Saccharomyces cerevisiae S288C: one gene and its partner. The protein of the gene in region 2 interacts with the protein of the main gene of each other region in a biochemical or structural test. Each region holds a gene or a part of one and is shown on either strand. Other genes may lie near its edges. The genes, in order: CMK2 and GPP1.

Evidence for each region.
Region 1: the proteins of GPP1 (region 2) and CMK2 form a complex in vitro, tested with the Saccharomyces cerevisiae proteins (one large-scale study listed by BioGRID).

What each region holds. Positions count from the first base shown.
Region 1 is NC_001147.6:288,867-301,597, forward strand, and holds CMK2 (calmodulin-dependent protein kinase CMK2), read right to left. Parts: upstream 7,255-12,731; coding exon 5,911-7,254; downstream 1-5,910. Other genes in the region: TOS7 (Tos7p), read left to right, coding at 32-1,687; t-SNARE syntaxin TLG2, read right to left, coding at 2,015-3,208; ESC8 (Esc8p), read left to right, coding at 3,663-5,807; IRC10 (Irc10p), read left to right, coding at 8,212-9,972; YOL014W (uncharacterized protein), read left to right, coding at 10,827-11,201; E3 ubiquitin-protein ligase HRD1, read right to left, coding at 12,514-12,731.
Region 2 is NC_001141.2:246,466-263,962, reverse strand, and holds GPP1 (glycerol-1-phosphatase GPP1), read right to left. Parts: upstream 8,849-17,497; coding exon 8,096-8,848; downstream 1-8,095. Other genes in the region: aminophospholipid-translocating P4-type ATPase NEO1, read right to left, coding at 1-2,526; DFG10 (putative polyprenol reductase), read right to left, coding at 3,044-3,805; PCL7 (Pcl7p), read right to left, coding at 4,193-5,050; isoleucine biosynthesis protein MMF1, read left to right, coding at 5,683-6,120; 60S ribosomal protein eL34 RPL34B, read left to right, coding at 6,900-6,936, 7,409-7,737; YIL054W (uncharacterized protein), read right to left, coding at 9,103-9,420; YIL055C (uncharacterized protein), read left to right, coding at 10,038-11,921; VHR1 (Vhr1p), read right to left, coding at 12,050-13,972; RGI2 (Rgi2p), read left to right, coding at 15,567-16,061; YIL059C (uncharacterized protein), read left to right, coding at 17,048-17,413; and 1 more. UniProt on the Saccharomyces cerevisiae protein: Major isoform of glycerol-1-phosphate phosphohydrolase involved in glycerol biosynthesis. Plays a role in osmoadaptation and required for adaptation to anaerobic conditions.

The DNA of each region.
Region 1 (12,731 bases), on a different chromosome or scaffold from region 2:
AACATTAATAGATTATAATATAAGAAAGGCTATGAAGAAAAATTCTTCGGTAGTTTTCTTCCTTGTGGGTCTATCACAATTCGTCACTATGGCGTTTCTCATTATCGGATCCATTACGGCTCCAATTTTCAAACAAATAGGCTATTCTAAATATGATGAGATCACATACGGTACATTCGGCTACTGTAAAGAGGGCTCCTGCTCAAAAGCAAGTTATAATTATCACCCCGATGAGCTATCAGACAGTGATAGCAACTGGAAACTCAATAGCAACGCTAGGTCTATATTGGGGAAAATCATCTTTATCACACCCATTGCTGCTGGTCTTAATTTTTTGGGATTTCTTTGTACCATCATGAGCGTTTTATTAATTAACGTGCTATCCAGTGATAGAGTTGGTAGTGCGTCTGCCATCATGTTTTTTGTTAATTTGACATTTTCCACTCTAGGCTTTCTTTCTGCTTCTTTGATATGTATCGTGGTATTTTTACTGTTTTACCCACATGTAACCTGGTGTTCATGGGTCCTGATACCAGGAGCTGCTTTATCTCTACTAGTAATTCCTTTGATATTCTCAGCTTATTCAAGAAGCTCAGGCTCAAGGGATGATGACGAAACCGAGGAACTGGAAGAAAAGGGCATGCTGCTGAATGACCCATATCTAAGTTCGAAGTCCGGGAGATTCGATATCGACGCTGATAGTGAGGCCAACCTCCGTGGTGATTCAAGAACGAATTTATTGGGTGACAATTTTAAGAACGGTACTAATATCACTGTTGTCCCAGATATTATTTCACACAATCAAGATCCGAAATTATCAAACATAACCACTTCTACCACGTCTGATATTTCTACTTTCGATAAAGAAGCAAAGGACATGGAAAATTCAAATGGTTCCGGACTTAATGAAGAAGAGGACGATGGCATGGCCTATGACAAAAGGAGGTCAACTTCAACGTATTCTGTCATTGAAAGTGAAAGTGGCTTGAAAAATGGGAGTGTTTCTAATAATTATGTGAGAAACAATGGTAGTAACACCAGCAACAATATAAACTATAAAGTTCCGCTAGGAAAAACGGAAATATCATCCAGTGCATCATTAGCGTCCTCAGACTACTCTCAAAGAGAGGTCATACCGCACAGAAATCCTTCGAGACTACTAAACGACATCATGGAGACCTCCTTCAATGAACCAAACGATAGCCACATCAACAGCATGTCCTCCTACAACGATAAAGATTCAACGTTGACTTCAATATCACAGAGAGGTGTCAATCCGGAAGTATACAATCAAATGCCTCGAGAAACAGCCGCTGGTCCTGCAAATATAAGGCCGTACGCTGGTCAGCCACACCCGGCGCCATTAGTGTATCCCCAACAACGACTACAACCACAACAACAGCAACCACAGCAGCAATATCATCAATACAATTTATATCAAAGAACTACTCCTGCTGGTCCAGATCCTTCTAATGTTATTTTACAAAGCAATCCTTATTTCAACGTTGCCCCAAACCAAGTGCCACAGCACAGAAATCCGGTACCAGGCGTCGGTTTTGCTCCGAATCCTTTACCAAACCAAAGCCCGATAACACAAGGATATAAGCCTGCCTATAAGAGGAGAATGCAAAACAAAAACTTGCCCCGAGCTACTACTTCACTGAACAATCCTTACGGATTTAGGTAAAAAAAGAAAAATGAAGGTTCTTTTTTTTTTTTTATATTCTACAAATCACAATAACCACCAACTTGTATTAAACCATATTTTATCATCTTCAGGAACTACTTATGCACAATATTCGTTCGCCAGTCTTTACTTGCGGTTCAATTTTATCCCATATAAATTTGTATTTTATTATCATACTACATACTTTATTGAAATCATATATTAACCTTTTCACTTTTCTCAAATAGAACGAGCAACAGGTCATATGAACGCTGACTAAATCTCTCAATTTTCTTCAAAGCATATTATAGTTCAAAATCGCGATGCGGTACCGTGAAAGTTTTGTCATCAAAGTAGGTCATCCAAAGCATCATTCTCAGATTCTGTTACTTCAACGATACTCGGCAAGTTGCTCTCTTCGTCATTAATATGGGTATTACTGCCGTCATCATGACTGTTATTAACTGTTTTATTATCATCATTGTTGTACTTGTTGCTACCATTATTACGACCACCACTGCCACCGCCATGTGGTTTCAACATAACAAAGAAAAAGAGCGCTATTACGCACAATGTTAGTAATAAAATGACTTTACATTTTTGAGTTCTCTTCTGGTAGTGTGTTGCTTTATTCAACTCTTTATCTGCACTTTTTAGCTCTACCACTGTATTTTCCAGATTATAATCAATCCTGTCCACAATAGTCCCCTGGTCAACAACCAAATCTTGCATTTCCCTGAAAATAGTGCTCACTTCTAATACACCCCTTGCCAACTGAGTAATTTCTTCGTCACGTTCTCTCAAATATGCTTCTGCAGAAGTGTCATGAAGCTGTTGCTGTCTCTGCAACGTCCTTTTTGAATAGTCTTCAATATCGAGGCCCTCTCTCTTCTCTCTTGCTGCCTCCTCTTCCTCATCATCTAATAATAGCGTGTTCTCTGCACTGGCCTTATTGCGGATAGGTTTCAAATCATCCTTGTTCAAGAATTTCAAGTAATTATTTTGTAATACTCTGAACTTATTACTTTCAGTTTGTATCTTTTCTGCATAGATCTTCTGTAGATTATCTAGTATAATCAGCTCTTCTCGACTTAATTGCTTACCATCCACAAATTGAGAGTTGTATATGGTCTTTAATCGTTTCATAACAGCGTAACATTTCTGCAGCATCTGAATTACTTTGAAACTTAGATCTTCAATCAGCGCCTCATCATGACTCTTGTCTTCAAAGCCAGGTAACGAATTCTTCCTATAAACCTTCGCCAACTGCTCACTTAACCGTCTCACCTCCAGAAGATAATCATCAACATCCTGCGCTATATCAATAAATATGGGTGGTAACGCATCACTGTGATTCTCATGCTTGTTTTTTCGTTCATCTGTCAATCTGGCCGATATATCGTGAGACATATTCATCATCGGGTATGTACCCATTTCAATATCTTGATCATCGCCCAAGGGTGCTTTCCCAGATGAGAAAGTTATGTTATGAGGGAAAGTCCTACGGTATGATAAAAATAAATTAGTTCTATCTCTAAACATGTTTGTAACGACTGCCTAGATCACAAAGCGATAAAATGTACATCAATTGGAGACTTTCCTGTCTTGCCGTACTTATAGTCTATTCTGCTATAATCTATACGCACTCACTTTACACCTTAAAAGCCCAATACAAACCGGTCCAACAATTATAATTCATCTATAGGGCATATACAAAAAAAAAAGGTAGGTGTAAAAGATAATAAAATACAACCCTATTAGCTTTGATAAAAAATTAGTAGGGTTAGAATGTCATATGGTAGGGTGATATAAACGCGTGAACTTTACGCGTTTATATGTACTAAGTTATTTTCGGTATTAGAGAATACCATATCAACGACTAACTCTTAAGCTTTCGATTGTATGAGCTGAAGAAACGGCCTGCTCATTACCAGGATATCTCTTTTTTTTAGACATCAAACAAGAAAATAAGGAACAAGAAATTTGAGGTACAATAATGACAGAAATTATTGATTTAGACTTGGTCGATGACTTTATCAAGAAACCTATGGTCAAACAACAGAAAAACCAGTCTTCAAAGCCTAGGGTAAAAAGAAGGGGTCAGTTGACCTTTGATGATTTCAGAAACATCAAAATTGTAGAAGAACCTGTTGTACTTTCTCACAATAGTTCAATTGACGAATCACTGGATGCTGCTACCCAAAATACTAAAAAGCGGGAGAAATATGAAGGTACCTGTGATGAAGAAATGAAAACTAAAGAAATGGAGGCAAATATGGCAAGCAAATATTCTAATATCAAAACACATTCGAACGACACTAACAAGGTAGAGTCGATCAGTGAACACACTACTTCTAATAATAGACCATTGAATACATTAAACTGGTCACCAAATATTCCTTTACGATATTCTGACTTTGCAAAGTTTATGAGTGATGAGACGGTAACGGAAAGCAATTGGGCGCCTCCCCTTTGCACCCCTCTCCCATATGCAGGCGATGTTATGAAGATCCTTTCTTTTATCGTCAAATTTAAATGGGTGTTCAGCGACGATCTACTGAACCTGTCATTTCAAGATGTGGAGATAGGACTAGAATTAAAGGTGGCTGGCCATTCTGCGAAGAATATTCGAATTTGTCAGGATAAAATGAATCTACTATTTTGCAGTCTTTTGAGGTTATTATTCTGCTCCGAGAAAAGAGCAGACAACCAAACTCATAGAAATTTCACGCTAAAAAGATTTCTTAGTTTGAAAAATCCATATGGAAAACTGGTTGGCAAACTCAGAAGCTTAATCCAGGAGTGGGGCTTACCAAAAGAATGGCGTGGTAATAGTGATATTTTATCTACTCTAAATTTTAATGGAGGTGGTTTGTTGACGATGGAACCATTAGATAGAATAATATTATTGAGATGCATGATCGATTGGAATTGTAGCTACTCCGCACTTTTCCATAATGAAATTCAAAGGCTCACTCACTTGAAAGGCGATACAGGGTTCAACCATCAAACTTTTCACGCCAGCAGGTTTGCTATGTGCGGGGCCAATAACATATTAGATAGTTGTGAAGTTTTATGCTCTTTGATGAGTCAAAAGTTGGAAAATCGAAAGAAAAGGAAGCCCAGCGACAAAGGAAAACTGAGTAAGATCAATAGTCAGATGAAATTTCTAAAGGGTGTTCGGAAATCATTGAGCGAAAAAGTAACTACAGACAGATTACGAGCTGCAGTTAAAATAAATGAAGAATGGGGTGAATATTTTGCAAACGAATTTACACACACACCAATTGATGATCCCACCGTAGACGAAATTTACAAGTTAAGGACATCAGAGTTTATGATAGCGAGAATTCCACGAGTTGGAGATTTCTACTTACCACCATTCTGGATTGGCAACGAATGCAGTTCAGTAAACACTAGTTACAGTTTCAATGACATGTCAACTTATCTTAATTACTTCGTAAAATTCAAAGAGGAGGGTACAAAAATACTGCCTGCAAAAACCGCACAAAATGAAAACAAGTGTCAACTTAAACTTATATATAGGAACACTCCTGCATGTATCCGTAATTTACAGTTCAATGATGTTCACTTTGCCGAGGTGCCGCATTGGTTTGAAGTTGCAGGAGACTCGAATTCTTTGAGCAACTTCATTGAGTATTTGGAAAGTTTATCATCACTTACTGAAAATGACACCGATGATACAAAAAAGGGTATAGACAATCTAATTGAGTTTTTGAAAATTTTCAGTATATTCATAAATGAGACTATTCAGCGCATAACTGCTGCCCCTACAGGCAGTACTGAAGGACGTCATTTGCGAACAAGCTCTCAGAGAAGAACCACGGTGCATTACTCGAGTGATGTAAATGGTGACGTTTCCGAGGAAAGTGAAAATGAAGTTGACATTGACGTTAGCGATGACTATGATTCAGAATATCTGAGTGAGGAGAATACATTGACAAGAAAAGGTGAAGATAGGACAGATAAATCTTTTGGGAAAAGAGAATTACACAATGGCGCTAAAGATTGTGATAGGAATTGTGATGATATAGAGATCTTCTCAGAACCCGTTAGGCAACTACAAGATAATTCTCGGGAAAAAAGAAGCTTGAGGCGTAATGCCAGAAAAGGTCTATAGTTTGAATGCCATGAAGTGTAGCTGCTGGTTACATAAAATCGTCACTAGCTTTACACATTAAATATTATATACGAATTTATGTACACGAATTCAAGTCCGTAATTTAGTCTTCTGACTTCGACTCCCGATCATCATGCAGTGTTTTCTTGCTATCGTCTTCCTCTTCACCAGCCAAAACTTTATGTTTATTCTTTGTTGCAGCTTTGACAATTTGAACAAAGGCATCCTTTGTTAATGCAGACTTCAATTTCATTTGCTCTTCTGTTAGTTCTCCCCCTTTCTTCTGAGATTGCAGACGTAAATCATCCAACGAATGTGTGACGCCGTCCAGAAGACTTTCATTGAGGGAATTCTCTTCTATATCGTTATCGCCATCGTCCCCTAATGAATACATATTTCTTAACCTCTTAATTCTATTATTAAGCTTCACAATTTCAATAGCGTCACGTAATTTCTTACGCAAAGAAAACCCTTTCTTAACGTCTGGTAAAATATTACTAGTTTCAACTCTCTTTGAAGTAATCCATGGATCGTCCAGCAATTCCGTAGCAGTTGGTCTGTCAGCTGGATTCAATCTCAATGCCTTCAAGATGAAACGCTTAACATCAATAGATATGTTATCCCAATATGGCATATGGAAGGTTACCGGGTATCTCGAAGCTGTACATTCCTCCATGAATCCTTCAACGCTTTCGGCAATAAAAGGAGAATAACCGCACAGTAAAGTATATGTGATCACACCAATGGACCATATATCACAAGGCTTACCATGTCCATCTTGTGTGAGGACTTCTGGTGCCACATAACCCAACGATCCGGCTGCTTTGTATATCAAATCCTCCTCCCCCTTCAATTGTTTAGCTATACCGAAGTCCGCAATTACCAGAGGCGAATTTTCTGACTTATCAACATACAAAACGTTCTCAGGTTTCAAATCCCTATGAACAACATTCTTGGAATGCATATACTCCACGGCACCAAGAATCTGAACTATGATTTCAACAGCATCCACTTCTGTGAACTTCCCTCTAGACAGAATTCTATCAAATAATTCACCTCCTGTTGCCAGCTGAGTGACAATATAGAACTTATCCTTCGATTCAAACCAATCCTTGAATGACACAATGTTCGGATGACTCAATTTTTGAAGAATGGACAGCTCTTCGTACAGCATCTGTAATTGCACATTGTTTCCCTGCAATGCCTTCTTCAATAAGATCTTTATAGCAACATCTTCATTTGTGGACAACTTTCTGGCTTGTCTCACAACACCGAAGGAACCGGCACCCAGTGTTCGACCGAAAATATAATTAGTCCTGTTGACGTAAGATTCAGGTTGACCGCTTAATTTATTGATAAATTTTGCTACAGGGTGGCCGTTTAGACGCTCTGGATCTTGGACATCTACATGAAATTCAGAATTTATGACCTCTGACTCCTTGGGCATTTTTGGTGTCTATATTTATATTGGCGATGTGATAGAAGAAAAGGTGACGAAAAGATTGATCAACGAATTGAAGTTCTGCTGATCTTGAACAATATCGTATTGTTTTATATTATTAGGATTACCAAGAGAAACAGCAATGGGTGGCTTCAAAGGGGGCAGGGTTCTAAGATAAGCCTCAATTATTCTCTTCGCGCTGCGTTAAAGCGGGCGCTTCTCCGAAAGTACAGCACGTTCTGAAAAGCCTCATCAACATAGAATCCATATGATGCTCAACGACTGGAAGTAAAAACATGAAAATTGAAAAAGAATATGCCTGCAGGAGCATTGGGAAGTACATAGTGGCTTATAGACTGCCAAAAAAAATCAGTACGGAAGCAAATGAACCTTATGTTATCCAGGGAGCGGTGAGTAACTGAGTAAAAACATTAGGCAAATTTCTTCCAAAAAATCATTGACATTGCCTGTCAATTGAGTAAATGAATAAATAAATAAATGCAAAAAAGCCAACCTAACTCTCCTGCAATGATACAATGAGTACTGTATCAACGACCATTAGTAAGTATCATGAAGTGTTTTGTATATTTGGAAAAAACCAGGCTGCATTGCCCCAGTGGTGTATTTATATCTACTGCAGTATGTTCTATTCTGTGAAGTTCCTAAAAGACACCGAGGTTTCTATGGCCTAACCATATTGTTGTTCTAACGCCTTTTCTATGTAAGGGTCCTTATTGTTCAAAGCCCCACCGCTCCTTCGCGCGTTGTGCCTATCATTGTGTCAGTAAATGTTAGGATACGGGAAGTGTATATATTAATTGAGTGGACACAGAAAACGCTCTAGAAAGGAATATCTCACAAAGAACTGTAATATAAGCCTACATTATTGATTTTTTTAGTTCTCTTGCCCTTATATTACCGTAAGTCTGCGGTATAATCACCTGGCCTAGTGCTTTTTCAATCATGTTCATTGAATACTCTAGATTACCAGGCTTCGAAAGCATCAATATATCATTTTCTAGAGGCATGCTAAGATTGGCTAAATTTACTAATTTCGCTACATACAAACAAAAATTAGAGTACTTCAGGCTGTTGGCAGGTTCAAACAAATACATCCAACGAATCAGCGTTGCTGACTTTGAGAGACATCCAGATGAAATCAATTATATTTACATTATACTAATATCCATTCTCCAAATGGAAGAGTGTATGCCAGTCCTAGTTCTATGTCCAACTGTTTATTGGGTACGATTCCACTGGCCTGGAAAATGTTCCGTGAACAGTTTGAACTTTACGAATGAAACGTTAAAAAGCGCTTTCCATGCTGTCTTCACTCCCTATTTTGCACTAATGAAAAAAGTTCTTGGAAGGATTAAAAACAACATGTTGCTATTTGCAGAACCTCATGCAAATTTAAATAATTTGTTTGTCAAGCATTTCCACGATCTCATATATAAGAGCGTAAAGGATGAAAAAACCGGCGAGGCAATTCTGTATTTGAGAACTAACGTTAATGTTCCAAATGTTTTTATTGACGATAAAAGAGCAGTTTTTCATGGTGACGGTATGAAAATTGGAAAATTTACCGGCAAATTTTTATGCTTTTCCTTCAAACGAACAATAAGATGGTCAAAATTAGATTCAGTGGATTCTTTTGCGGTTACGACAGTAAATTATAGAGTATCTGTAAATTGGGAAAAGACACCAAGAAAGACTTTCCTTTCTCTAGACAGTGACACCAAAAATTTACACTATATATCGAAAAAGATATTGAATAAAAAGGGAAAGAACGCCACTACATCAAAAACAACAAAAAGTTCATGCACAAGTGAGAACGTTTGCGATGATAAAACATTCTCCGTCGAATTCCCACTTACAACGTCAGCAAAAACTGAATATTTGTTGAGAAGTAATTTTTCTTTAGAAAAAATTAATGAAAGCAACAATCCTACCCTTCAAGAACTTACTTTAAACCGTACACATCGCTTATACCGATCAAATTTTCGCAATGAACAAAGCACCACACAGAGGAAGTTTGAAAAAATCGGTAGAACTGTCTCTACTGATTCAGGCAATAAACTGCTTACGTTTCCGGAACAAAAGGCCACAAGAGATAGTAACCCCTTCTCAATCGAATTGACACATGCAACAGTAATTTCCAGCGACGAAAGTGCCTTAAAAGACACTACTAATCAAGCGATAGCCGAAATGCAACGTATAACTCCTGCTATTGCAAAGACAATCTCGAGAAGAACAGCAAATTGGGTCTGCTCAAACCCAGCTCCTGATCCGTATGGGGAACCTTCAACGTGGTCCAGAATTTTGACCCCTAATTTGAAAATAATATCGGAATCATCACCATATTATCCAGTCCATCTAGCTTCACCAAATTCTACCTTTAGTAGAGATCAAAGTGTAAGAAGTGTTGTCATGAGGAGAAGTTCTGTATGTGTTGAAAAACAAAATAGTTTCTTCAGAAATTACGAACATTTCAAAAATATATTGTCGAGAAGAACTATTAAGGTTAAGACATCATGTCCTAGGCTGAGCGTTGACGTAAGTGACAACAAAAGAGAAAATTTATCACAAGAACACCTCATTTTACCGAACAAATCTAGAGAAAAAGTCAACCGATTTAAAAATTGCCTACATAGAGTTGCAGAAGCGCTCAGAGCTGCCAAAGAAAACTGGGATCAGCACAATCCCAGGAACTCTATTCATTAAGTACTGTTAGTTTTTATTTTGGGACACCCTTGACATATAGTTTAGAACTTTACCTACTTTACCCTTGTAAAGTTTCTTTCCTTACTTAGCGAAACTGTACTGAATAAGTTGTGTAAGACAGAATCTTTGATTTTTTCCAGGAATAATCATCACTGCCTACTGCTACAACAGACTAGTTTACTCTCCCTTTTTTCCGTTTTTATTCCGACAAGGGGCATGAACATTCAATACTAAATTCTTTTGTGCTTTTTTTGGGAAGCCTTTTCTAATAAGTACCAGAAGACACATTTTTATGTGACACTACTTTAAGCCTCGAATGTTTTTTTGTGCCCTATTATTTCTAAGCAAAATATTAAACAATCTAGGCCGTAATTAAAACGCCTATCTTGGTACAGTGTTACAGCGGCTTATACAGTTTATGTTAAACTTAAAATTACATAAAGTTTCGAGAACTTCCCCTTAAGAAGGGTCCGGGCGCAGGCAACTGAGCCTACTCGGAATAAACATCGATGACCGTTTTTGGAAAAAGGGTTTGTCGCGGCATATAATGGATACTGAAGAGGTCGCCTGAAAACCTGAAAATTTTTTAGCCACCATAAATAATAAATAGTTATATATATTAAAACATCATTTGCTATTTTATCAAAATTCCGTTGTAGCGTGGTCAATTGTTCAACTATTTCAATTGTTCAGAAAAGTGAAGCTACTTAAAAGTAGAACAAAAAAGAGTTACTCGAACGTTGAACTCTTTGATTATTTAAAGATTTCAGTTTAACAAAAAAAGTAAAGTAACGTGAGAATGTCTGATTCAACAACTTCCCCCACAACCACATTTTCTACTTCATTATCACCAAATGCGACCACATCATTTTTTTTGTGGTAACATGGGAGTGATGTATACGGCCATGTCTGGATACGAAACAGAAGACGCACAAGCCTACTGGGCATGCGGTAGAGCATATGAATCAGCTTTTGCAACGTTGACTAAAAAGGTTCCAGGAACCACATTCTCAGCTGATATGCCAACATCTACTTGGCATGGTGTCCTGGATTGCGGCTATTCCTCTTCAATTAACGTGGCAGAAAATAAAAGTTCGCCCATCGATTATTGGAATTGTGGTAGAACATATGCCAGGAATTATGCTCTGTCCGATGCGCTTTCACTGAAGCCAACGAATATGTTACAGTACTTTCTATTAGTATTATTTTTTATCTGCATTATACTATGAGAAAAGCTCATTAATATTTGAGCACTTAGATAAAGTTGCATATGTGTATGAATACATTCTGAAGCAGCCATTAATTATTAATTTATTCAAGGGCATAATCAGTCCAAAATTTATGTTTTTACAATTATTTTTTTTCTCGTTGTTGGTTTCTAAATGACCTAGGAGAATTATGTATAGAGATTAGAAGCTTTTCGACAATATAGACTTCATAATAACGAAATGATTTTACTTATGTCTGCAATTATTTCCTCATGCCTTCCTGTATTATCGCTTGTTAGTCCTAGTACGTTATTTGCACGCCTGTTCCGACTGAATTCGATGAGAGTTGGAATCTATGTCACATTTAGCACCGTATAGGCTAATATTCTAATAAGCGTGACAAAAAATTGGAGTGTTTTACTTGTAATTGATGAATATCAATTCAATGCCCCCATAGCTTTTTTTTACGGGTGATTCTTTTTTTATTGTATTTTTCCACCACGAACCGTAGATGGCTTATTGCATTTCTACATGAAAGAATAGTAAATGTGTAGCCTTTGTTACGTGAATAACTTACTTATCCAAGTATTAAAAGAATTTTGGACCAGATTTCTTCTTCTATTACTATCCCTCTAATTGAAATATGAGTGATTTTGAGATAATTGTTGGAATTTCATCGTTGTTACAGGTTATAATATTAAATATACAAAATATGCTGGAAGTTCTTCTTGAGTATATAGGAATTCACAAAAGGAGAGTCGATATATCTACATATTATGATAATGTTTACTTCTTCTTCCATTTTATATGTTATCATTTATTATCCTATTGCATTATCAACCTTAGGATTTCTGCTTCCTTTATATGTGATAGCTGTTCCTTAATCATTATGTCACCTTCCTATGCCGTATGTGATAATATACTAGTAACATGAATACCAATAATAAGTGGATGGTACTAGAATTACATTTCAACATAGGCTGAGTTGCTTTGGAAGGCCATGATGTGTATTATAAATTCTGAGTCTTTTCATGGTTCTCAGAAAAGATCGGGCGTGTGGTCTAGTGGTATGATTCTCGCTTTGGGCGACTTCCTGATTAACAGGGGGACAAAGCATGCGAGAGGCCCTGGGTTCAATTCCCAGCTCGCCCCCTTTTTTACTATTGAAAAGTATTCGGTCAGACGTAGCTGATCGATGTAGCATGTGTACGCATTTCTAGATATCGAGTAATTTCCGCTGATGTATAATATATATATATGTGTGTGTGTGTGTGTTTTTCATCCAGTAGTTTTTTTCTTTAAAAAAAACTATGTATAATATAAAACATGCAATCTAGATATGCTGGATAAATTTATCTGGTATGACAATTTTCTTGGCAATTTGCTCGCCCCCGTCTCCATGCAGAGAATTTACTTCGTGATTTTCTATTGTTAATTTGACAGGAATACCATTTTCTTTCTCATCTGAATTTGTGATCAAAAATTCGTAGGCTGATCGGCTTGACCCAACAGAATTATCACCAGTTTTATGTAATGGGAACGTATACCACG
Region 2 (17,497 bases):
AAATTCCTGTTCGTAATGTTTCAAAAACATTCCCAGGGATTCACCATCTATTAAAAGACAAGCATTTCTATTGATTTTTAGATACTCCAGCTGATTGAATGCACCTTCCGGTCTTGTGACTTTTGTTATCGTATGAACATATTGGCCACGAGATATTAATTTTGCACTTATGGAAACACAACGAGCAGTTTCAACTTTATCACCTGTCAGCATCCAAATCTTGATACCTGCGTTTCTTAATAACTCGATAGAGGACTTCACATCCTTCTGTAACTTATCTTCTACACCAGTTAGACCCAATAATTCAAGATCATGCTCTAAATACTTGGTGATAACTTGACTCATCTGTTGATCACGATTTAGCATTGACAAAGAGGCATCGTTGTATTCTTTTTGAAATTGCTCGTAAATTTTCTTGTTTAATTTTTTACGACCGATAACCAAAGTACGTAGACCTTCACGAGCCATATTACCTGTTTCTTCCTCTAGCCAATCATTGCTTTCCACAATTTTTGACATGACAGTATCGGCCCCTTTTTGCATAAACCAATATTCATCCAATTGCTCATCACGAACAATGATACCCATACGCTTAGAATCAGAATTAAATGGGAATACTTGTAAAATTTCGTAATTTAAAGTCTTACCAGAATGTTCGTGTAATAAAGAAATTGAATGGCGATCTCTTTTGAAAAGAGATAAGCCAACCGACTCGGTAAATTTAACAATAGCAATTTCATCAGGTGATGCCGCTTGATATGTAAGTTCGTCATCCTCAAAAGTGGGAGTAACGTTATGGCAAATTGCTAGAGTTAAAATCATATCACGTACACGAAAAGACATATCCTTTCTTGTTGTTGATAAGGCAACTTTAGAATTGTTCAAAGAGTCATTTTTAGAGCTCACCAGAGATTGTACATAGTCGGATACAATGTCTAATGTTTCCGACGTGTATGATACAGTACCCAAGTGTATTTTCTTCAATTGCATATCATTCTGAGTAAGCGTCCCTGTTTTGTCGCTTAGAAGGTATTCAATACGGCCTAAATCCTCTGGAATTGTACTCGTTCTAACAATTGTTTCAGGAATGGTTTTATCGTGTTCGATCTGATGTGCATAAACACTTTTGGCTAAATCTAAATTAACTCTTAAAGAGACAGGGATGATGGTAGAAAACAATATCAGATACCTCAAAATGTCAATGTACCAGTCGTCATTGTGGAAACCGGCAAATGCAACTAAAAGAATTGACAGGGCAAAAACACATGCACAAAGAATCTTGGAAATACTGTTAATTTCTAGCTCTAATAAGCCAGTTTTAACCTTAGCTGTAGTTGTATTCATAGCTTGCCTAGTATCTCTGCCAGTGTAGACGACACAAGCAATACAAAATCCACTGGAAGCTAGAACAGTATTCGCCCATAGAGTATTATCTACAGACAAAGGGTTTGAAGTGGAATCCTTATAGGTAACTTTACCTAAAAATTTATGAATAGATTTCTCAGGAGCAGAGGCTGTTATACTAATTCTGTTAATTAAGTCATTTTCAGATAGATTTTGGGTCAAGGGACAGGCAACACGTAGTTTCCAGTCAGTCTCCCCATCTAGTTGGTCAGTTTTGATAAATGACTCGCCTGATGGTTCACTTGATTGTAAAAGAACCAAATCAGCGGGAATACGATCACCTTTATGGACTTTTATGAGATCTCCAACTTTTAAGTCTTTGCTTGGTATGGAACGATTTCTCGTTATTACATGATACAGTTCATTGTTTGACTCTCTATCACGTCTCCTTCTCTGAATATCATCTATAGCTTCCTTTGCCATGGTTACTGTCAGCACAAATGCTAAAGGTACAATATACGATGATAAATACCCTATTCTTAGTGCAGGAACGGCCTGCGATAATGCAACTACTAAAAAGTATAAATTGTAAAAGAATTTGAACTGTTCATATAATAGGGTTGGCACAAAAGTAACGGCATTATATTTGGCATTAGATAGTTCATTCGAAACGTATCTATTCCTATCGTACACAGGAGTCGTGTCTGGATGTATTTCTCTTTCGATGTGTTGATCACTGAGTTCTATGGGTGAACCAAACTTGGACCAGTTTTTTGTGTTAGATACTTTTAAATATGAGAGGGCTTTTGAAAAAATATTGTTTGAAGACGACGGTGGTGACGAAGCAATATTAGTAAATTTGAAATTATCATCCTGCGAGAGGCGATTATCATACATCAAAGGATGGGTATCTGTGTTTGAAGACTTACGATGCGAATCCGAAGAATGGTTAGAAAAATTGTCTAAATCATCTACTGTTCTCATTTCAAAACTTTCCCTATCTCCAACAGTGTTATGCTTACTAAGTGGTTCTGGGTTATTATTAATTTGTAAACTGTCTAAAGCAGCGTCAAATGAATCGTCGAGATGTAAGTCAAAAGAATCTACACTGTTTGCGTGTTGATTATTGTTGGAGTTGAATAAATTCTGCTTATGTGACTTAAATGAAGGAGGGTTAGGCATTTGTCTCTGAAGTTTTCCGTGCACACTGATACCCCTTTCTTTTTCAGATTAACGTTATGCCACACAAGTGCTCTGATTGTTACTTTTTCTCAATTGCTTAACGGTATATTGCTGTTAATAAGCTGATTGTTGAGTACTGTATAAGCTTCAAAAATCCAGATGAAATCTTTTATTGCGTAGATCAGGCTTCTAATAGCAGCAAATTCAGGTGAAACAATGCCTAAAATATTAAATAAAAAATAGGTATTGAGTAATTTTGGTCCTCGTTTTAAGTAACGAATGTGTCCGAAATTCCCAAGATGTCTAACCTTTTGTTTGGCAGTGATAGGTCTTAGCCACTGTGCCAGTATTTACTCTTTCCAACTGCCTCAAAAAGGTATGGCCTTACCTTCGTTTTTAATGACACGTATACGAGCCTTTGCTGTCTAATTAGTGGTAAAGTGATAATAGTGAAAGTAAAGTGGTTCTTTACCGCGTCTATATATATATGTATATGAATGCCCTAGTGTGCACATTACTAGATTATAAAAGGTATTATGGCGTAGGGGGCTACGTGATTGTCTTTAAATTTGTGCCTGTAATAATTTTTTGTTTCCAATGCGGATATAGTCAAACTTGTGATTACCCAAACTAGTGTTAGGTAAAATTCTTGTTCATAGGGCAACAGAGTAGAATAAATGATTATTTCATCGAGATAATGAGGACAGCATACCAACCTGAAAAGCCTTCCTGTTGGCAGCGAATATTTAACCAGATTGGCCAGAATAACATGATTTTTGTACTGATCCCAAGATGCTATGCAGAATATGATGAAAGCATTCATGTTTAACGTATTTGGAATGGAGTTCTTGTACAGTGATATATTAAGAATTAACAAGAGTACGGAATAGAACCATATACCGACTAGATAATGGGACCAATTCATCCTAGAATTGCTTGTATAATGTAGTACATAAAGCGTTTCATAAAGTCGGCGCAATGAGTGTCCAAATATGATCCAAACGATGGGGAATTTAGGATAGAAATATAAGGTGACTAAGGATAGAAAGGTAGCCAAATAGTAAAAATGGGAAAAATACGCCTTTGGAACTGTGAACTTCTTGATTCGTTCTAAAATGCTTGAGTACTTTGAATTCTCTTTGGGCCGGTAGGTTTTACCATATTGAAGAAATTCTGGTAGACAACTTTTTGCTATGAAAAGTGAGCAAATGCCTACAAAAAAGGATAATCTATAGGCATATATAGTATATTTTAGCAATTGTTCTTCATCAAAGTACATTGGACTGGTAGATTCTACGTTTTAAGCCAGATCGGTCCGCCGATAAACCTATTTATATTCCACATTTGGTATATTTTTACTTTTTCGAAACGTCCTTAATTCTCATTTTGGAAAAAAAAGAGAAAGCATAATACTGAATAGAACAAGGACCGAATTTCTCTTTACCGGTAGATTATGATTTATTTGGGCAAAAAGTTTTTTTTTTCATTCTATTGCAATAGCTATCATTTCAGGAGAAATGCTACTAATATGAAAAACCACTGATTTAAAAGGAATATTAAATTATTTAAATATAACCGATATGTACGCGTTACGTAAATCAGAAATTGATATGTATAATACGAGTAACGGTAAGGGAAGGGCATGAATAATATGCAGGACAGCATTCTACTGGTCGTTCCAGAATTTATATAACAAGTTTGCATATTTCTGCATTTCTTCGACTGAAACCAATAACTTGAAATCACATAGTATCAGGAATTGTAATTCTAAATGGTTTAACTCTTGCAAAGAAATACCTCCAACCTTGGCGTATCGAGAGTTACTGTAAAAAAAATCACTCAAGAACTTCGTGCAAATTGTGACACCTGTTATGAGCAATCTATGAATGTTCCCGGAGTCCATGACGAATAATTGCTTTGCGCAACCATTACGCTCAGAAGAATGCCCATAATTTTTGGAGATTCTATCGAAATATACAAGGAGAGAAAGAAAAATATCATTTGTGGTGGGACAGTACTTTTGAATTCTCTCTAAGTACTGAACAACAGCTATCTCTGGAACATTCTTTCCATAGAAAGCAAGGATTGGAGTTAAGAGTTCGTCTTCGGTCTCATCCGACACTTGTTGTGAGACATCTGTAGTTTCATCGTTTGCTGTTATAATTCTGTTGAGTAGCGCACTTATCATTAGTATGAGTTCATCTGTGGGAAAGTCTGCTATGTTTAAGATCTTTACATCAGTCTGTTCATTTGTCTCCTCGTCCAGGCTATGCGTTTTTGCTTCCGACTCTAAAGACTTCTTTACAGCTTGTACAGGAGAACAATCTAGTAAAGATTTCGAAGAGAAAGGGCTTTCCAAACTGGGGTTAGTAGATATTTTGGACAGCAAACTACTATTGTTACTTGAAAATGGATCGGTCTTGAAGCTGTGAGAATGTGGTCCGATTATTAGGTTATCTCTATTCCCCCCTGGTATATTTATTGGCGATGTTGTGGTTTTTTTTGATGGTGAACTTAGCTCCATATTTTTCTCTAGTGTAAGCAGTCGTTCGTTCTAGCTCGGTTTGCTTTAGTCTGATTACAGTAATTAATGTCTGTTAACTTTTGTTGTACTATTTTAAGAACCGTAGATGAATATATAGATATACTTTTTGTATATATAAAGGTTTGAGATGTTGAAGCCTGCGCTGCTATCCCCTGCTTTGTTTACACCGTTTTGGACCCATCGCAAGATACCGAGATTCCGAAACCGGCCTCAAAACTCCCAGAGATTAGGCGCGATAGATAGTAATACCTTAAGCCATAGTATGCCTATGGATGCAAAATGCAATGATCACTGTCCATGTTATACAATTAAAAGAGCCCGTAGAAAAGTGCACAGGCGGTGATCTTAGAAGACCAGTGCTGCTTATTGGATAAGTCTCTATCATTGAAGGACGTTATTCACTTTGCTCCTGTGTACGCTCTCATTTGCGGAGATGCGATTCCGCCTCTGTCGCTCATCCAGCGAAAAACACACCGTATGGATCCCCTGATATATATAAATACATATGACTAAATGGGTCTTACACATGCATAAGAATTAGGTTAGCTAGTAAATTGTGTGAGATTTACAGGTAAAAAGGACAACACATACACACAAATATATTACCAATAATGTTTTTAAGAAATTCCGTTTTGAGAACAGCTCCAGTCTTGAGGAGGGGTATAACAACATTGACCCCGGTCAGCACCAAGTTGGCCCCACCCGCTGCCGCCTCTTACTCCCAAGCTATGAAGGCCAACAATTTTGTGTACGTGTCTGGTCAAATCCCTTATACTCCAGATAACAAGCCTGTTCAAGGTTCTATCTCTGAGAAGGCCGAACAAGTTTTTCAAAACGTTAAGAATATCTTAGCAGAAAGTAATTCTTCTTTAGACAATATAGTCAAAGTCAACGTATTCTTGGCTGACATGAAAAACTTTGCCGAATTCAACTCTGTATACGCCAAACACTTCCACACCCATAAGCCTGCAAGATCCTGTGTTGGTGTTGCTTCCTTACCTTTGAATGTTGATTTAGAAATGGAAGTTATCGCTGTTGAAAAGAATTGAAGGATTGAAACTTCTTTACTGCCTTTTTTCCACTTGCGATACCGAGGAGTGTACATTTATAAACATTTTAGTAGCATTCTTTAGCGTATATAAGATTTTAACTAAGAAAAGAAACGAATTTACGGAGTTTCAGAATCAGTTTCTTGCCGTTGTAGAAAATGTGAGGGGAGTTTCCCTCTACTTGTATCAATGTTACAAGACAGGGGTAGAAACCTATTACGTGTTGGAACTTATTTTCTTGAACACTCTAATCATAAATTCTAAAAAACTGTGACTGTGTTTTCGTCACAACTTTGCGGTGTACAGATGTCGTCACATACCGTGTGTTGTTTGGGTGTTTTCCTTTCAGCTTTTTTTTTTTTGAATTTTTGAATTTTTACTTTCATTTGCTTTCGGAGGTCCCGCTTCCGACAATAGTCCGCTTCATTTGTCCCTTCCCATGAAAGTTCATTCCTTTGGGCAGAGAGACCGTCCTTCTGGGAGGAGATGGAATTGACGCCTGGGGGAGGAGCCAGTAACAATTCTAACTCTTCCTCTTCCTGTCAGTGGCCCCAGCACCCGTTCAGACGGTATGGTAACGGGCTCTCAGGAGCCGTTTCATCGCAGCTGGTGGGTAAGTTTGGAATGTTTCAATAGCATTCTACGTAAAAGTTGATGAACTTATTAGTTGTAAGTAGTAAATAACGGGTAGTACATAGTATTTGGCACTTGTTATATTCTTTTGATTCAATTTACTTTGATTGAAACTGAGAATAGATTAGCAACGAACAACCCTAAAAATGGCTCAACGTGTTACTTTCAGAAGAAGAAATCCATGTATGTTACTGAACTATTTTTTTGAGTTTTCATGAAAACTTATTATGAACTTATTATGAACTTATTTTGAACTTTCATTGTGGGAAAATGAGGTTAAAAGGCGAACGAGTGCTATTTAGAGAAGCGTACCACTTAGAAATAGGAAGAACCAGATCATCGATAGGGGAATCAACTATGCAAGAACTTTCAAATATATTGGCATGACATTAAAACATTAGACAGCATGAACGAACAGTATCCAGTAATGTGGACAGCAATAAGTTGACTTCAGTTTCTAAGTGGAAGACCTTGGTCGACCCAAATGGAAAATGAATTTTTCTCCGCTGTTGAAAGATTGAAATGAGATAATATTCATTCAGCAACGCCGAAATACTTTTCATATGGAGCAATCCCACTCAAGTTCTTAAATCATAGGATAATAAAGAAGTGATTACTAACATTAATGGGAAAATTTTCTCTTTACTACGTACAGACAACACCCGTTCTAACAAAATCAAGGTTGTTAAGACCCCAGGTGGTATCTTGCGTGCCCAACACGTTAAGAAGTTGGCTACTAGACCAAAGTGTGGTGACTGTGGTAGTGCTCTACAAGGTATTTCCACTTTGAGACCAAGACAATACGCTACTGTCTCCAAGACCCACAAGACTGTTTCCAGAGCTTACGGTGGTTCCAGATGTGCCAACTGTGTCAAGGAAAGAATCGTCAGAGCTTTCTTGATTGAAGAACAAAAGATTGTTAAGAAGGTCGTTAAGGAACAAACTGAGGCTGCTAAGAAGTCTGAAAAGAAGTCTAAGAAATAAATTTAAATAAGCATTCCTTTTATAATTACTCTAACTTCTCGTCGTACTAAAAAAAAACACTTTTATAGTAAGATATAAAACAAAAACGAAGATTGAATCTTCCTTTTTTATTTCTGTGTTAAATTCTCTAAACCAGCTTGATTTGCGCGAACCACCTGTCACGGCAGATCATCCGAAGACGACAAAGAAAAGGATGCATTACATCGGTTTAAATTTTTCTATTCGTATTTTATAAGTATTATATTATATTATTAAGTCATGCAGATATAAAATTATACAATTGGTCGGAAATGGAGGGAAATCATACATTTTTATTTTATTTTTAGCGTAGTAGTTTTATCAAAAAAATAAAAGAAAATTACCATTTCAACAAGTCATCCTTAGCGTATAAGTAGTCATCAAAGATCAATTCGACTTCATCGGTTTCAGCGTTGTATTCACCGACTCTGATAGATTCGTGGTTCTTGACAATGATGTCACAACCCTTTTCCTTCAAGAAGTCCAAATCGAAAGTGGTAGCAATACCAACGATTTTACAGCCAGCAGCCTTACCAGCAGCAATACCAGCTGGTGCGTCTTCAAAGACAACAACCTTAGATTTGGATGGGTCTTGTTCATTAATTGGGAAACCCAAACCGTTTCTACCCTTTAAGTATGGTTCTGGGTGAGGCTTACCTTGCTTGACATCATTGGCGGTGATGAAGTATTCTGGTCTCTTGATCTTCAAAATGTCGAACCATTTCTTGGCCATGTCACGGGTACCAGAGGTGGCGACAGCCCATTTTTCCTTTGGCAAGGCGTTCAAAGCATTACACAACTTGACAGCACCTGGAACTTCGATGGAGTGTTCACCGTACTTTTCTGGGATTTCACCTTCTAGCTTGTTAACGTATTCTTCATCAGCAAAGTCTGGAGCGAACTTGGCAATGGCATCGTAAGTTCTCCAACCGTGAGAGATGTGAATAACGTGTTCGGCATCGAAGTAAGGCTTGTCTTTACCGAAATCTCTCCAGAAAGCAGCAATGGCTGGTTGAGAGATGATGATGGTACCGTCAACATCGAATAGAGCGGCGTTGATTTTCAAAGATAAAGGTTTTGTGGTCAAAGGCATTGCGATGGTTTGTATATTTGCTTTTGTTGTTCTGATATATTTTAAAACATTGAAACGTTTCATAACAAGGAAACTTGGAAAGAAAAAAATGGCAATCAAGAGATACTTACGAAAGATTTATATACATTATCAATTGAACGAAAATGAACAAGACGACAATATGAACAAAAAGGAAAGAAAGTGATTAACAGAGTAAGAAAAGAAAAAAAAAGGAAAAAAGAAAAGAAAAAAAGAAAAGAGGAACTCACACATCATCAAAGGTCAAAATGGTCAAAATGGTCAAAATTAAAAGACACAAAGGAAAAGGTGAGTAAGGAACAATAAAAGCACATACCATCATCAAACAGCGTTAAAAAAATTATGTTAATGATGATGATCGCAAGAGTAACAGTGATAATGGTGATGATGATTATTCCCATAAAGAAAACCGGACAATGAGAATCCTGCAATTTACCAGGCGCACGCGGGTTCGTGTATGCGAGAAAATGATACGGATTTCCTGCTTGTCTCACTATTAACGCGTGGCGGGGTAAGACCCAAGGAAGACAGACAAAAAAAGCCTTCGGGGCCATGCCATGTCATTGCCGTGGACTGAGACAATTACAATATTGCTTTTGTTCTCTTTCTTTTGACCCTGTGACGTGTTTCGTAAGAATCCCACTTAAGAGATGAAAAAGAAACGTGGTGGTACTTCGCACCCAGACCATACGTCTTCCACTCTCTTGATGGGAGCGGCGAGCTTCCGCACCCACACATTCTAATTGCCGCGCCTTCCTCCCACCCGTACAGAGTGATATCCCTTGGTACGATTGACCAGGGTGTGTGGCGCAAGCAAATTTTCCGTTTTAGTTCAATGATGTCTTAATTGACACTGCGCTTGTTTTGAGCGATGGGTTCGCAGCCCTGGAAGACCCGCAAAAAATTAGGGGAATGGAATATATTCTCTACTCCATTTTTCAAATGTTACCTTTTGTTTGTGTGCATTGTATTATTCCATAGTCGTAATGTTGGCCTTCTTTCGTGCGCTTTCCTAAAGGTTTTTACGCTTGCTTAACTGTTAAGTTAACAAGACTTCCTCCCACACTTGTTTCTTTCATTTTTTTTTTTTTTTAGATTGGTCTTGGCCTCCAGTTCAGTTGGCTGATACACGAGAGTTTGCTGTCTCTCCTTACAATACGCTTGCTTTATAATGACTCTAGAACCACACTATAGTGCCAAGTCGGCTGCTTCAGCCAGTGCCTTTGTTGCCCGTTCTGCGACCGAAAGCTCAACAGCAAGCACAAAAGCTGCTCCTAGGAAAAAGACGTACTCGCAGTCAAATGGTATTCCCATAAGGATTGATAATCTCCCTCCGGGCAAGACTTGGGCCCAGGTAAAATATTTGATAGGCGGAATCATATACCATACCAATATTTTACAGGTGAAAATGCTGCCTCCAATGACTTCCATGGTTCCTCCTTTTATTACTTTTCAGAGTTGCATTGTCATTCTGAAGAACTCGATAGATAACGAGTCCCTGGAAAACTTACTACTTACTTTGAACACCTACCAATGGGATTATCATGATCTGTTCGTTTACCTGTTGCCGTACACTAATGATTCTCCTTCACTGCGATATCCAGAAATCAGTGATAGCAACAATGACGTCCGGAGTGCTCCCGATGAAACTAAAAGATCTATTTCTCCTCGATATGCAAGCCATGTTTCATCTGTGACACCGCAGCCACCATCCGCTTCTACCCCACCTTCTCAATTTTTCAGTTTTTCTCCTGAAGTGAGCCTTCGAAAGAATGAGAACATAACGCCATTGCCCACGCCTGTTCCCGTACCTGTTGGTGTGCCACCTCTTGCTCCCCCGCCTCATGGTCCATTTTCGACTTCGATGCTACCTATGTTGGGTGCTCCTCCGGGAACGGTACCTAATATGCAGATGCCCTATCAAACTACTCTACCTTCACCAACAGCTGCTGCTACTGCTGGTGGTCCACTTGCTTCCCCTACACACTATCCCCGTCGTCGGCATTTCTATCACCAGAACCAAAGCCAGTTTCAAAAATACATGCATAATAGCCCCAGGAATCCAGATACTGGCACAGGCCCTCGTCTTTCTCAGCAGCATCACCTCTCCTTAAGGAACAATAAGATAAATCCCTCTTATAACGAAATATCTGCCCTTTACAACTTGAACATGGCCTCAAATTCCAATAATAATGGTAATATTCCCACTACAAGTACGAATGGTGATGACCGTGCCCTCCAAGCAAAGAATGGTGGAACAATTACACCTTCACAAACTCAAATAAATCACAAAAGATTAAAGCATATCTTTAACGAGAAAAGCTTTAGAAAACAAATGACGAATAGAGGTATGTGGCAGCTGAAGATCATAAATTTCCCACCCTATATACCTATAGAATTCTTGGAGAAATTATCAGAGTCTGATTTCAATGAGTTAATGAACCAAGAGAAGTTCACAGTTATTGAAATTAAAGAGAAAGGACAATTGGAAAAATTTGGAAGGCTAAGATGGACAGTTCTAAAAGATTTTATAAAACTGAAATGCCCCAAGCTATTAAGACTACAGGAAAGACAGTTTCTACAGCAACAAAACGAAGCATCTTTACTCAATGAATCTATGGACGCTCTAAAGATATCAGAAAATGAGAACACCAACGGGAGTGCAAATAATAGCACATACACAAATGGCGGACCTCGAACATCTATCAATAATACAAGGGAATTCTATGTAGGGGTTTATGAAGATCATGAAGAAGCAACTCTACTGAGGTTTGAATTACCGGAAGATGAATTAGAGGAGTTTAATAGAAATTTGCCAACTACTTTTGCACAAAGTGGAAACGTCTCTGACTCCGAAGGTGATAGCAAGGCGAAATACTTTAAAGTTAGCACAATTGTGTATAATGCCATTGTTGGGTTCCACGATAAAGAGCTGTCTGATTTGACGTTCGAATCCTTACAAGACCAGGAATATTCACTGGGGTACAAAATTCATGTAATGGAACTGCCACCATTTGACGAGGATGAATTTGAAAATCAACGGCAGCAGTTCTAAGCATGGATTAAGAGGATATTATTATTTTATCTTACATAAATATGTACGCGAATTGAAAAAGAAAAAAATATTGTGTAGAATGTGTATTAGGCAGTTATGTATGTAGACAATTTTGTTTTGTATTTTTATCAAAGTAAAGGCTGGAAAACCGGCTGTGGTAAATTGCCATTTTGAAAAGAATTTTTGTTCTTTGTAACGTATGGCGCTGGCACAGACTCGTTGTGGTCATTATTATTTGTGTTGGAGGTGGAGGTGCCAGTGTTTAAAGTAGTGTTGCTATTTTCTTCATTCATTGGCGATTTAGAGATCCTATTAAGGATGTTATCAAAGGCAGTTAAGCTTGATTTTTTTGGATCATCTTTTTCTTGTGGTACCAATGGAATAGAAGGCATAGAGGGGTTTTCACCTATGCATGACATTTTGGGCAACGTAATGGGCACTGGTATTTTTGCATCTTGTAGTGGAATGGTGGAAATGTCCTTAATTACGAGATGAATCTCGCTCGTGGAAAAGGAATCAAATAACTTTGCCAAACTTTCATCGTTCAAGAGGTTATCGTTATGGAAAATACCAAAATTCTTGTTCTTGTTGATAATATTAAATAAATTTTTACAGTTTTCCAAAACTTCAGACACCGTGGGTGGTCCATTGCTCAACTGGTGGAAAGTAAAGGCTTGCTCGCGATCATTAAATCTAATGATCACTCTGCGATTAACATCTTTATTGGCCGATTGAGGCTTCATTGGTAGCGTAGTTAAAAGTGTAGCTCTATTCGATAGAGTGTTATTATTATTCAACATAACGTCACTTGAAACGACAGGAGGGCTTCTCTTAACCCTCTTGTTAGGTGAAGATGATGGTGGTTCTGACGCACAGGAACTAGCCAAAGGATACTGAACCATCACAATATGATGTATGATTTCACTTAAAGGGTAAAGCGTGGGGTCGAAGCCAAAATCCTTGACAATACCACCTATGACCAAATACAGTAGCCTTAGTTGTACCTGAGCCGCGGGGAAATGAGATAAGTTATGTCTTGTAGCGGCACCGAACAGTCTTTGAGACAACAAAGCCAGATTTTCAGGAGAGCACGTCTTGGCAGTGATATACTTCATTGAAGAAGAGACCAAGTTGGAGAAAAATCGTTCGATAACGAATGCAATAGACATTCGGATTGACATTTCACCCAAAATCTCCAGATTTGCGTATATATCAATGGATCCTGCAGCCTGCGAAATGTCCTGACAAGTTCTTGATCTTTGGATTTGTAGGAGTAACTTTTCCCTCAGGAAAAATGGCACGGTAGAATCTATCGGGATGTTTGTGGTAATGTTAGGTTGCTGGCTGAGTGAAGACGTAGCAAAATGTGACAGGTTTGGCCCAGTATATGGGTCCTTGAGAGCTTGTTCTGATAGGGGTACGACATTCGTAACAAGATCGTGCACTAGCATGGTGACTATATCGTTATACTTTTGTTGGGTCGAAGTAACCGATGGAGATGAGTCATTTTGGGTGCCCACGGTTGGAAAAATGGTTCCGTTATGACTCTGGTGACTCATGAGAGGCTGGAACTTGTTTGAAAACTGGAAATCTGCAGCATAATTAGAACTAGGCAGGAAGTCCGAATTGGAGCGCTGGTAGATCGACGGAGAGATCTCGTCGTCAGAAGTAGAATTTGACGAGATGCTGTTGTTGACATTGCCGCCACTGCCATTGGCTATGCTGAGAGCGTAGCGTTTTTTTGATCGTTTTCTATTCCTTCTCACTGATTGCACAGCAGCAGTGACTAACTTTTCGAATTCCTTAGAGCAGCTTACAGGGTATCCAAACTCCGTTCTTAATATTGTAGCAATCTGCTTTATGTTTTGATCTTGTTCGCTTGCCTTATATTGACTTAGTTGGAATTTGTCTATCAGCTCCAGCCTTCTGCTCGAAAACTGTTTCCATTTCTTTTCATCATTAAAATTGAGTAATTCTCTAATCTTATGAGTTGCTCCATTCCCAGAAAACTTATTTATTCTATATTGAGTGAATGTTGGAGGACCGTTCATATGTGTATAGGATATAAGCAACGAAGAAGAATAGGTAGAAAGAGAATAAAGAAGGTTTTAAAGCTATAACTAGTAGAAAAGAAAAATGTAGGAAGGGAATGCGGATGCGTTTATGCTAAGATGCGATGGGGACAATAGAAAAAGAAGAGAAAAAAAAGGAAGAGGAAGAGGTAGTGGTATAGAGAAAGAGAGAGAAAAAAAAAGGCTAGTAGTATTTGTATAGTAGGGAAAGGGCTAGATTAGAACTGAACCAAGCTGACCTGAATTGACTCAATAACACCATTCTCACCCACACAAGTACCGAAGATCCAAAAGGCAAGAATCATGGAAGAGAGCACATTGATTTATAGTAAAAAAAAAAAAAAGAGAAGACGACGGTAGAAAGATTTCAGGGAACATATGGCTTACACTTATGCTGAAGAAGTAAGAGGGAGAAGCGAAGCAAATATAATCTGTCACAATGCACAGTGCGCAAACGTAATCTGCCCACTCAGCTAATAGCTCCTGCCATGATTCTGCTGCGTAGTCTATATGAAAGGAAACGAAGGTCAGAGATGAAAAAGAGATAAAAAAGAAAAGAAACTTCTCCGAGGGGCGCAGAATTCAGGGCAAAACAACATGGAATCGATCAAAAGTCATAGTCACCCACGGAAACGTGGCGCCTATTCCGTGGCAGCTACCCGCCCGCCGCTTGTTCTCAGGGCACTTGTCCACTGCATTCCGATGTTCCGCGGAAATTAGCACGGCCTCTTATCCCCGGCTCCGCACGATTCCCTGTGTCCGTGCATAACGAATGACTCTTGTGTCGTGTTATCCGGGCTTTCTCCTTTTCCTTTCCCCGAGAAAGCAACCGACGCATACGGATATAAGCGGATCCCACCGAAAAGGAGACTCCACGGTCTTGGTGAATAACATCGCGCAGATTATTCTGCGAACCGTGGCTAATAGGAGCATGCCCGAAGAAATGATTATGGGTGCGTGATCACCAATCTGTGTGAGGCTGTCGAAGATATCTGATAATCAGTAAGCGATAAAAAAAAAATAAAAATAAAAAAATAACGACACCAGCAGGATTTGAACCAGCGCGGGCAGAGCCCAACAGATTTCAAGTCTGTCGCCTTAACCACTCGGCCATAGTGCCTAAAACAATGTAGGTTATTTAAGCAAGTATTGTAGATACTTTTCGTAATAAACTACAATGCACCCACGACTCGCGGTGTAATGATGGCATGAAATCATTGAACGAAGTTTTGCGGCTATACGGCTGAAGGACGAGACTAAAGGGACAGGAATTATTAATGCGGGGTATAATTTGAATAGTATTAACGGGCACTGCCGTTTAGCCATCAAATGCTATTGTTGGGGTATTCTCTCTACTTTTTGTTCTTGGCTTGAACCTTTTCGGCGGTTGGCAATCGTCCGTATATAAGCATCGGCTGTCCCAATCCTCTATTGCCCTTTTCCCTTGCACCTCCTTCTCAATTCTTCGTATCTTTCGCGTAAAGGTAGATCTTGATTCACCTATCTGTCGAAACACGATTAAGTGCAAACGAAACAACGTACAGTATATAACAAAGTATTTTAAATAATAAGAATGACGAAAAAGGATAAGAAAGCAAAGGGTCCTAAGATGTCCACCATCACTACAAAAAGTGGTGAGTCCTTAAAGGTTTTTGAGGATTTGCATGATTTTGAAACATATTTAAAGGGTGAGACGGAAGATCAAGAGTTCGACCATGTCCATTGCCAACTGAAGTACTATCCACCCTTTGTCCTGCATGATGCGCATGATGATCCGGAAAAGATCAAAGAGACTGCCAATTCGCACTCTAAGAAGTTTGTTCGCCATTTACACCAGCATGTTGAGAAGCACCTGCTAAAGGACATCAAAACCGCTATCAACAAGCCAGAATTGAAATTCCACGATAAGAAAAAGCAGGAATCCTTTGACCGGATTGTTTGGAATTATGGCGAAGAAACGGAGTTGAACGCCAAGAAATTCAAGGTGTCTGTCGAAGTTGTATGTAAACACGATGGCGCAATGGTAGATGTTGATTACAAGACAGAACCCTTGCAGCCACTCATCTAAGTTTGGGGAGCTGTTTTTATGAATTAACGAAATTTTATGAATTTACGAAATATAGCATGCTATATAAAATAATTTATATGCGCATGTATTTTGGTGTGCACCTTCTTACTGGAGTGTATACAAGTCTACAAATCAACACATGTGGTTTTTTTAATGTTTTGTCGTCACAACGCGACCTTAAATAAAAGAATTCCACGCTAGATTCATGCTACTATCACGAACAATACGTACCAATTAAGCTTTCTTGGTGTAATAAAAAAAGAGAAATGTACACACCACCATGATTCCGTTTACGTCTTGCTTTTCTACTTGTTTCGCTCATGGGTTCTCATCAGCTCTATTGTGTGTGCCCTCTTTGTAGATAATTAAACACATTGAAAAAAAAGAAAACGAAAAGATGGCACACGGCTTGGTCATCGAGTGAAGAAATGAAACTTCAAAAAAATTGCCGGACACTTAAACCTTAACGAGTTATACAGAACCGTATCCAGACCTGGAGCTGGGCTATAAGAAGAAGCGACAATATGGTATACTAAATTTCTGGACTCGTAGTCACTCAGTCTGTTTGTCAGTAAGTCACGTAGACCTGTATCGGCAGTAACTATGGTATTTTTTCCAGATTAATTATTATACGATGTTGTTACTTCGATAAGGTCACAACAGGTTTTCCATTGTTGAGAAACTGACTTTGATTATTATTTAGTTAGTAGGCAACTGTCATGTTGCAACCACAACAAGCAACAATCCTTTCACCATGACTATTATAAGCGGCCGGCAAAATTGCCGGGAAAACTGCCAGGGATATAATGCAACCTTCATTTGAGCACTTAAAATAGAAGATAACGTTGGTAAACCCCCCTTGATAGTGGACACATCCTACGTAGATCTCTCTACAGCCAAGTCGTATATATAGCAGCAAATTGCAACCAACCACATGGGACATAGGAATGAGTGGTTTTCTCAGACCCTGAACGTGACCGTCCATCATGAATTTCTCCACAGTTTTTCAAGCAATAATCGCGGTTTTAGGTTTAACTACAGTCACAGCTTTAGCAGAATTTGATTTCGACGTAGGCTATGAAGAGTTTGTCCGTACCAATCCTGATACGATTTTCTTAGAGAGTGATATTGGCCTGCACGTTGGATATACCGAGGGTGGCGAACGACAGATAGCAACGATACCACACAATTCCACGCTAGGGACTTCACTACGTGAGTATAGTGGCTGTGGTGGTAATGGTACAGAAACCTCCATCGCTACCCCCGCACCTACAATGAGTGAGGTACCTATCGCTACCTTCGTGAAACGTAGAAAAAGTGTACCTATCTTGCTACCGCAGGTATGTATGTGAAGAGTTGGTGAATTTTGAGATAATTGTTGGGATTCCATTTTTAATAAGGCAATAATATTAGGTATGTAGAATGTACTAGAAGTT